2 linked regions of the Arabidopsis thaliana genome follow. The protein of the gene in region 2 interacts with the protein of the main gene of each other region in a pairwise test. Each region holds a gene or a part of one and is shown on either strand. Other genes may lie near its edges.

Region 1 (3,756 bases), on a different chromosome or scaffold from region 2:
TAAGGATTCTTCTAAAATTTGGCGGTACTTCATGCCTGGGCTGCTCTTTCCACAGTAAACCATTGTTAGCACTCAGTCGTAAGGTCCAATACAAAAGCTATTATATAGCCAAATGTGATAAAAGAATAACAGAAAGTGACCAAATTTAAGTAAAATCAAGAGTTCTAACATTTTTTCAGATATGCATAGTGGACAGCTTCACGACAAGTATTATCATACTATAAAACGTCAAAGTACAAATAATTAGTAGTATAAGACTTTACATTTAGAACTCGGTGTTCTCATTTGAGAAGGACGAATCATCTAAGATTGCTGATAGTAGTAATAAGCCATTTGCACAAGTCAATGTAAGATAGAGTTTACACGTGCCAATAACATAACTATCCCTCCCACATATATAGATGATGTCTCTAATAATCTGTTAAGTAGTTTACAAAGCGAGCACATATAATTTTCTGATCTGTGCATAATAAATAGCAGAGAGAAATTTGTCAAACCTCAATGAAATGATAAATGGAACTGACATCAGATCCATTACCATCGGCTAAAGCAGAGAGAGCTTCAAATATCACCCCGTCATACCTGAAAATAGGGACATATCAGAAGTTTAGCAATACATGATGAAGATTATTACTCAGAGTTGATAGACTAGCATTTATGGAACTAGTCTCTCATCATACTTTCTGGCCTCAAGTATGAGAAATAGAGAACAAAGAAAGACAAACCTAGGAGCATTCTTTGTATTTTCATCAGGGATCAACTCAGAAGGTAAAGTACGCCGACCGGGAGGAGGTGGAATAGTAGGAATAGGCCGTGGAATAGTGACAGCATCATTTGCATCTGCAGCCGGAGTGTCGCCTTCCTCTTTGACTTTTGCTGGCCGTGCCTTATTAGTTAAACTTTGAGTACCAGGGGGAACACTCAAGTTACGCCACTTATCCTATTAAGTATTGAAACACACAAAATTTTCAAACTCTTCTTCATAAGACTACCACCAAGTAAAAGAAATCCATAGCAAAATGAAGGACAGTACTACTCTTTCCACCTCAAATCTCCAACTCAACCAAGCTAGCTTTAGGTATTGCACACTTGAATCAATAAAAAAAAAAACTTATAATCTATCCAAGGAATCTCTAATCCTATAACCAATGATAAGAGGCAACACTAATAAAACCTATTGCCAAAAGTTTTGATTTTTTATGGATCTTAAACTAAGCAGATACGACAGAGTACATAATGCACTCCGGGTTGGTCTCAAATTCGATGTCTAGGTTTAATATATGGTTCAACGAGAGTGATTTTAAAGAGGTGAGTGAAGAAAAGAGAAACCTTTAGGTCAATGTTGGAGCGATGGATGAGCTGATCAGCGAATTCTGGATCCCGGAGAATATTCTTCCACTTTCCAGGACCGTGCTTTCTGATTCCGGCGAGTAACGCCTCCTCTTCCTCCGCCGTCCACTTTAGTTTCTGGTTTCCCATCTAACCCTTGCGTGATTTACCTCGTGCTCTCTCTCTCTCTCCAAGACAATCGGCGTGTAAACGGAGTTAGACGCAGTCTCTTCGCCGTAGCTTTCGCCGGAGGTTTCGTTTATTTTTGGCTCTGCGCAGTTGTGTGACTGCGGGAGGAGGTTTCCAGTTTGCAAAACTTTTTCGATTATTTACTTCCGAATTTATGCTTTTTATTTTGTCTTCTATTTACGCTCTCGAAATTAAATCGAATTTTTTTTTTTGGCCTTTTGACTTAAATTAAAAACAAATAAGCTTTGTATTTGAATCCTTAATTATTTTATTTGAAGTTTAGTTCTCTAAATAAAAACTGATGACAAAAAAAATTCATAAAATTAGGTTCGTTCGTCGTAAAAATATTTCTGACATTATAAGAGAAACACCTGAAAATTCGAGGATGTTTGGTTGTCACGATGGATTGCAATTTTGCAAAGTAATTAAGTATGACTTTGAAAAGTCCAATGTTGAAGAGGTTAATTTTGTAAAAATTAAACTTATGGGGTCACATTCGAAATATCAGCAAATACAGTGTGTGGTGGTAAGAGAAAACCAACTTGGGTTTAAATAGAGAAAATAAAATAAATGGGGTTAAGTTCGAAATAAACGTAAACGCGAGTATTAAGCGAATCTGGTACTGCGCGTATCTGGAAACAACTGGACTGAGTCTTTCCCTAAAAACCCTAAACATAGATTTTTAGTTTAGTTTGGTTTCATTTCTCATTTCGGCAACCAAACCAAACATTCAGAGAGACACAACACAACCACATCATCACACGTTTCTCTCTCTCTCTTTCCTCTCCGTCGTCTCTCTCTCTCTAGCCACCACCAAAATCCTTAAAACCTAGACTTTTCTCTTCCATCGATGGCGGCTAATAACAGATCCGATCATGGGTCAGACGAAAACACAAGACTTTACAATCCTTACCAAAACTACGAAGTCCCAATCAACAAATCTCAGTACCTTTACAAGCTTCCTACCTCCCCTGAGTTTCTCTTCACGGAGGAGGCTTTAAGGCAACGTAGATCTTGGGGTGAGAATCTCACTTTCTACACCGGAACAGCTTACCTCGGTGGCTCCGTTGCCGGAGCTTCTGTTGGAGTCATCACTGGAGTCAAAAGCTTCGAATCTGGCGACACTACTAAGCTCAAAATCAACAGGATCTTGAACTCTTCTGGTCAAACTGGTCGAACTTGGGGTAATCGGATTGGTATCATTGGATTGGTTTACGCAGGGATCGAGAGTGGTATTGTGGCTGCCACGGATAGAGATGATGTTTGGACCAGTGTGGTGGCTGGTCTTGGAACCGGAGCTGTTTGTAGAGCGGCGAGAGGAGTGAGATCTGCAGCTGTAGCTGGTGCTCTTGGTGGACTTGCGGCTGGAGCTGTTGTAGCTGGGAAGCAAATTGTGAAGCGGTATGTGCCCATTTGAAGACTGCAAGAGTCTAATTGGCAGACTCTTTTTCGGGTCGTTGTTGAAATTTTTGATAGGGGAAATGGTGAGAATTTGATAGGTTTGGTATGTCTTGGAATCATAAAAATGAAAACTTTATTTGGTTTCTAGAGGTACAACAAGTCTGTATGTCAAGTCATAATGCAGTTTCACTTTGAAGAATAACCTGCAAACCTTTTTCTTATATTCATACTGATTAAATGTTTTGCCGATTGGTAATTTAATTTGTCATGAGTGTGTTTGTTCTAGTTAGTGTTTTATGTTTCTGTTTTTGATCAATGTTAACTCTTTCTTGATTCGTTGAGAAACTGATGTGTTGTATTACATTTGAAAATGAAGCTCTTCTCTCAAGTTTTTTCTTATCATTTTGTTAATTGGGATGGTGTAGTGTGTTCACATAATTGTATACCTCTGTTTATCTCATTGAGTACTAACCTGATATTTGATGGTGTTATTTTGTTACCTATTATATCCCCCTGGTTCTATTTCTCTGGACTGTTCTCTGCTCTTAGCTATTAATTTTGTCTCCAAGATTTCACAAGCTTATGATGATGGATCAGTCACTTTTGGTTTTGTGGTTTTTGGTTCTCAAGTCTCAGGCATATTGTGTAGCAAACCTTCTCTAAACTCTTACCGTCTCTAGACCTTATCAGCTGCTCTAAATGAAGAACAAATAGTGTCCTCTAATCTTTTTATTAAAGCCTTAAACTTTCAGTTTTGCAGCTTGCTTAGAATTTTTGTTTTGTTTCAGAAGATCATGTACCTGCAAAATGACATTTCGTCTGATTTCTTCATTCGAA
Region 2 (3,756 bases):
GCAACCATAGATTCCAAACAATCCGGTATTGTTAAAGACGCTAGTGAATGCAGTGCATGATTGAAACTGCTGATGTTGGTTCAAAAGGCGAAGATCTGCATCCAGACAATAAAGAAACCAATCTCATCATCATCATGACCAACAAATAACTAACTTACATTAAAACATGAGTGTTGAAAAACCGCAAGTAGAAAGAGAACACATTCAGAGACTTACAGAGCCAAGAGTGCATTCCTTTTCCAGGGCCTCCCGCAGAAAATGAGCCACCTCCTCCCATAAGCATCTGATAAGAATTGGATTTTACACAATTAAGTCTTTGCGTTTGAAAGATCAAGTAATGTATTTGAGTCAGGCACCTGAAGAACAGTTGCAATGATAGCTTCCTTCTCGTTATTCCATCCTGGCACTTCAAAAGCAAGCGCAAAATGTGTAGCCTGAGAATGGTGAAACAAAAAAAGAAAGATATTAGGAATAATAAACCTTCTTTTACTCAAAGAAGCCCATTGAAACGTCATATTTGTACCTCTCCACCCGTATGTTGACGGAAATCTCCACCGACATATTGAGACTTTGGCTCCGCAGGTCGGGGTACATTAGGGAGGTCAGATAGTAATGGCTCAACCACTTTTAGAAGTTCTTCATGATCAACTCCACTAGCTGCTAGGACCATTCGTGAAGCAGTGTAATTCTCCTGAAATTTCAGAACAAAATGAGAAAAAAGACACATCTACGAAATAACAAACCAAAAGCCAGTGATACTAGTTCCAGCGAATGCAATAATCTCTTGTGTTAACGGTCTTACAAAAACAAAATTCTCCAAGACCTCCCCAGTCAATCCAGTAATTGCAGATTCAGGTGCATACAATGGATTTGCCAATGCGCCAGAGTAACCAGCAGAATGAACTGCCTCCAAAAGAAAACCCATTGGATTCGTTGCGAATTCTCCTATCTCTACTTTCACCTTTCGGAGCTGCCAGGAGAAAAATGATGAAAACAGTGTAAAAAAATTGCTTAGCTTTAATGTTTGTGAGATACATGCAACATGACATGAAGTACCTCTTCATTCACTTCCCAATCCAAAAAAGCAGGGTTCCTCACACTATCAATAAGCACTTCAACCATTTCGGGAACATAGGTTTTGAGAGCATCAATTGTGTAACCCATCTGCTCTCGGGATGCAGAAGCTGAAGTATTACCTCCAATAGCCTCTATTTCCCTTACAAGGCGAAAATGGCTTCTGTTCAATGTACTCTTGAATGCCATCCTTTCAAGCAAGTGCGTCGCTCCACGGAATTGAGGAGTCTCATAAATAGAACCACAGTCAACGTATAAACCAATGGAAGCTGCTGGATTCTGAACAAAATTTCACTCAAAATCACTTTCCAGTAGTTTTTAACAGGAAGTTGATGTTGGGATTACTAAAAGAAGCTCTCACCGGAGACATCTCAGTGGCTATAGTCAGACCATTTGGAAGAGTAGTGGTCTTAAGTTTGCTAGGCTCAACATGGTCAGAGAGTGGTGGTGGAAGAGAGACACCAGCCAAGGGAATGTTCATAGAAGGAAGTGAACTAGAGTAGCCTCCACTTAGCCAGCTGGAGGAAGAAGAGCTCGTTGCAACAGCACTAGAACTTGCATAACGAGAAGCTCGAAAATTGTGGTTTAGAATGCCCTATAAACACACACACACACACACACATCCTAAGCATCATTAATCTCTTGATTCAATTAACATTGTAAAAATAAGAACTTTCGAAACAGAGACATTTCATAAACCTGCAAAAAGCATGAATAATGGCACCAGCTACTATAAAGCGATAAAATTGAATCAAGATCTATAAGAATCTAAGAGACCCTTTAATCCAAATCCAAAAACAATGAATCATACAAATTGTTCAATACTAAGCATTCTCCTAAAAAAACCAGAATCTCAATGGAAACAAGTGAAGTAGGACATTGACCTTAAGGGCCTTGGCTCGAGAAGCTGCCGTACGGTACATGATGATGACTGCGAAACCCTAGCTTGGTCAGATGAGTACCGGTGAATGTGGCTGACGACGGGAGAGAGATAGAGGCCGAGTCAGAGCTGAAAAGAAACGAGAGAAGGGAACGATTTTTTTTCCTAATTAAGGTTATTGGATCGGGCAATTGCTTCTAATTACATTGATAGGCCCATATGATATAATAGTCTTGGCCCAAATTATAACATATAGAAAAGATGAATTTAAAGCCCATGTATTGTAGTGGTGTGATCCTATTATATTTTCTCTCAATTATATTTTTTTTCTTTTCTTTTTCACGTACCATTGTGTAAAAATTCAAGTAAGGTAACGACATTTACATGCAGTCACAAATGAAACAAGAATTTTTTTGAGGTGTGTGTAAAGTGAAACGAAAAAAGTACTAAGAAAGTTTATCTTCTCTAAGTTAATAGAATTATTTTGAAACGTAGTATCCACATATATAGAAGACTCGTGTGTGGTGCATATATATACTGCATAACTTCAATTGAACTGTATTATATAACTATGACTATCCATCCATGGGAAGATAAGAATGAGAGCCGAATGCTAAAAAGCAAGGGACCCGAATTAAACAAAAATGAATAAAGGAGAAAGGTTTGTGTGATTTTGTCAATTGTCGTCGTTTAGTGGATGTGTAAAAATACTAAATACTATAACAGGTGGTGTGGGTCTATCTTTTTTTTTTTTTGGTCTAATGTTAAATGTGGGTCTATCTTAATAATGCAGAAATAGTGCAATACGATTCATGAGTGGAAAAAATCATATTTGGGTACTCTCATATATAGTCTCATTAATCATTATCACCGAGTGGGGCGTACGATACACTTTTTCTTCTTTATCTGTTTTCATCTAATCATCATACTGTATGTCTATATTATCGTAGCATTCATCATCGAGTTATGAAACTTATGCCAAAAGAAAAGAAAAAAAAATCATTTGAGATTGGTTAAATTTCTATTTTAAGATTTAAACCAAAATGTTTAAAGTTCTATAAGCTCTAATTAAAGTCTCTGCAGTCCATTAAAATGGATAATTAGGATTTGCCGAACTTGAAAGGAGTAATGCACATTTTGATGCTCACGTGAACAACGAGTTGTAACGGTTTCGCTATAATTGGAGGCAGATGAGAAATGGTCGTGTGTGAGTTTTAATACCACGTGATTAACGGAGCCACAATCATATTCATGGGCCATTCTCATGAGCTATAATTTGAGGTGTAGCTGAGAGATGGTCAAATGCCACGAACTTTGAGTATTTCTTTCTTAACTTTGCATTTTTTTAGACGTAAGTTTTTTTTTTCATAGCCTACATTTCTTTGACAACTCATAACCTACATTTTGAGAATTTATAAATGTCAATTTATCATTTAACCTTCTCACGATAATGCAATTCCTATGGTAAATGTCAACTCATAACAGACTCTACGAAGAATCTACGACACTGTGAAAATCTCTAATCCAATATTCAAAAGAGAGTTAAAAAAAAAAAAAAAAAACAGAAGAGAACATCTTTACGATGCTGCTTTCACGATTTTAAAATTTTAGGTGATTTTTTTTGGAATTTTGGAATTCTCTTTACAAATTTTATGTTGTAAGGTAGATTCAATTTTAAAAAAAAAAAGATATTTAGATTAATACAAGTTCCTAAGTCCTAACTAATCAAAGCTTCCATCCCTCGTGAAGCACGAGTTGGTTGAATATAAAGTCTCTCAAAAAGAAAAGAAAAAGTGGTTAGT

Evidence for each region.
Region 1: the proteins of MPPalpha (region 2) and TIM23-2 interact in a two-hybrid assay, tested with the Arabidopsis thaliana proteins (one study listed by BioGRID).

What each region holds. Positions count from the first base shown.
Region 1 is NC_003070.9:27,381,209-27,384,964, forward strand, and holds TIM23-2 (translocase inner membrane subunit 23-2), read left to right. Parts: upstream 1-2,156; 5' UTR 2,157-2,347; coding exon of another isoform or gene 2,348-2,368; coding exon 2,369-2,935; 3' UTR 2,936-3,316; downstream 3,317-3,756. Other genes in the region: AT1G72740 (Homeodomain-like/winged-helix DNA-binding family protein), read right to left, coding at 1-40, 498-582, 726-940, 1,330-1,479; AT1G72755 (uncharacterized protein), read right to left, coding at 2,348-2,375, 2,573-2,610. UniProt on the Arabidopsis thaliana protein: Essential component of the TIM17:23 complex, a complex that mediates the translocation of transit peptide-containing proteins across the mitochondrial inner membrane. Links the inner and outer membranes.
Region 2 is NC_003074.8:5,598,147-5,601,902, reverse strand, and holds the start of MPPalpha (mitochondrial processing peptidase alpha subunit), read right to left. Parts: upstream 2,194-3,756; 5' UTR 1,998-2,193; coding exon 1,959-1,997; intron 1,670-1,958; coding exon 1,436-1,669; intron 1,354-1,435; coding exon 1,057-1,353; intron 971-1,056; coding exon 803-970; intron 692-802; coding exon 524-691; intron 435-523; coding exon 357-434; intron 284-356; coding exon 217-283; intron 96-216; coding exon 1-95.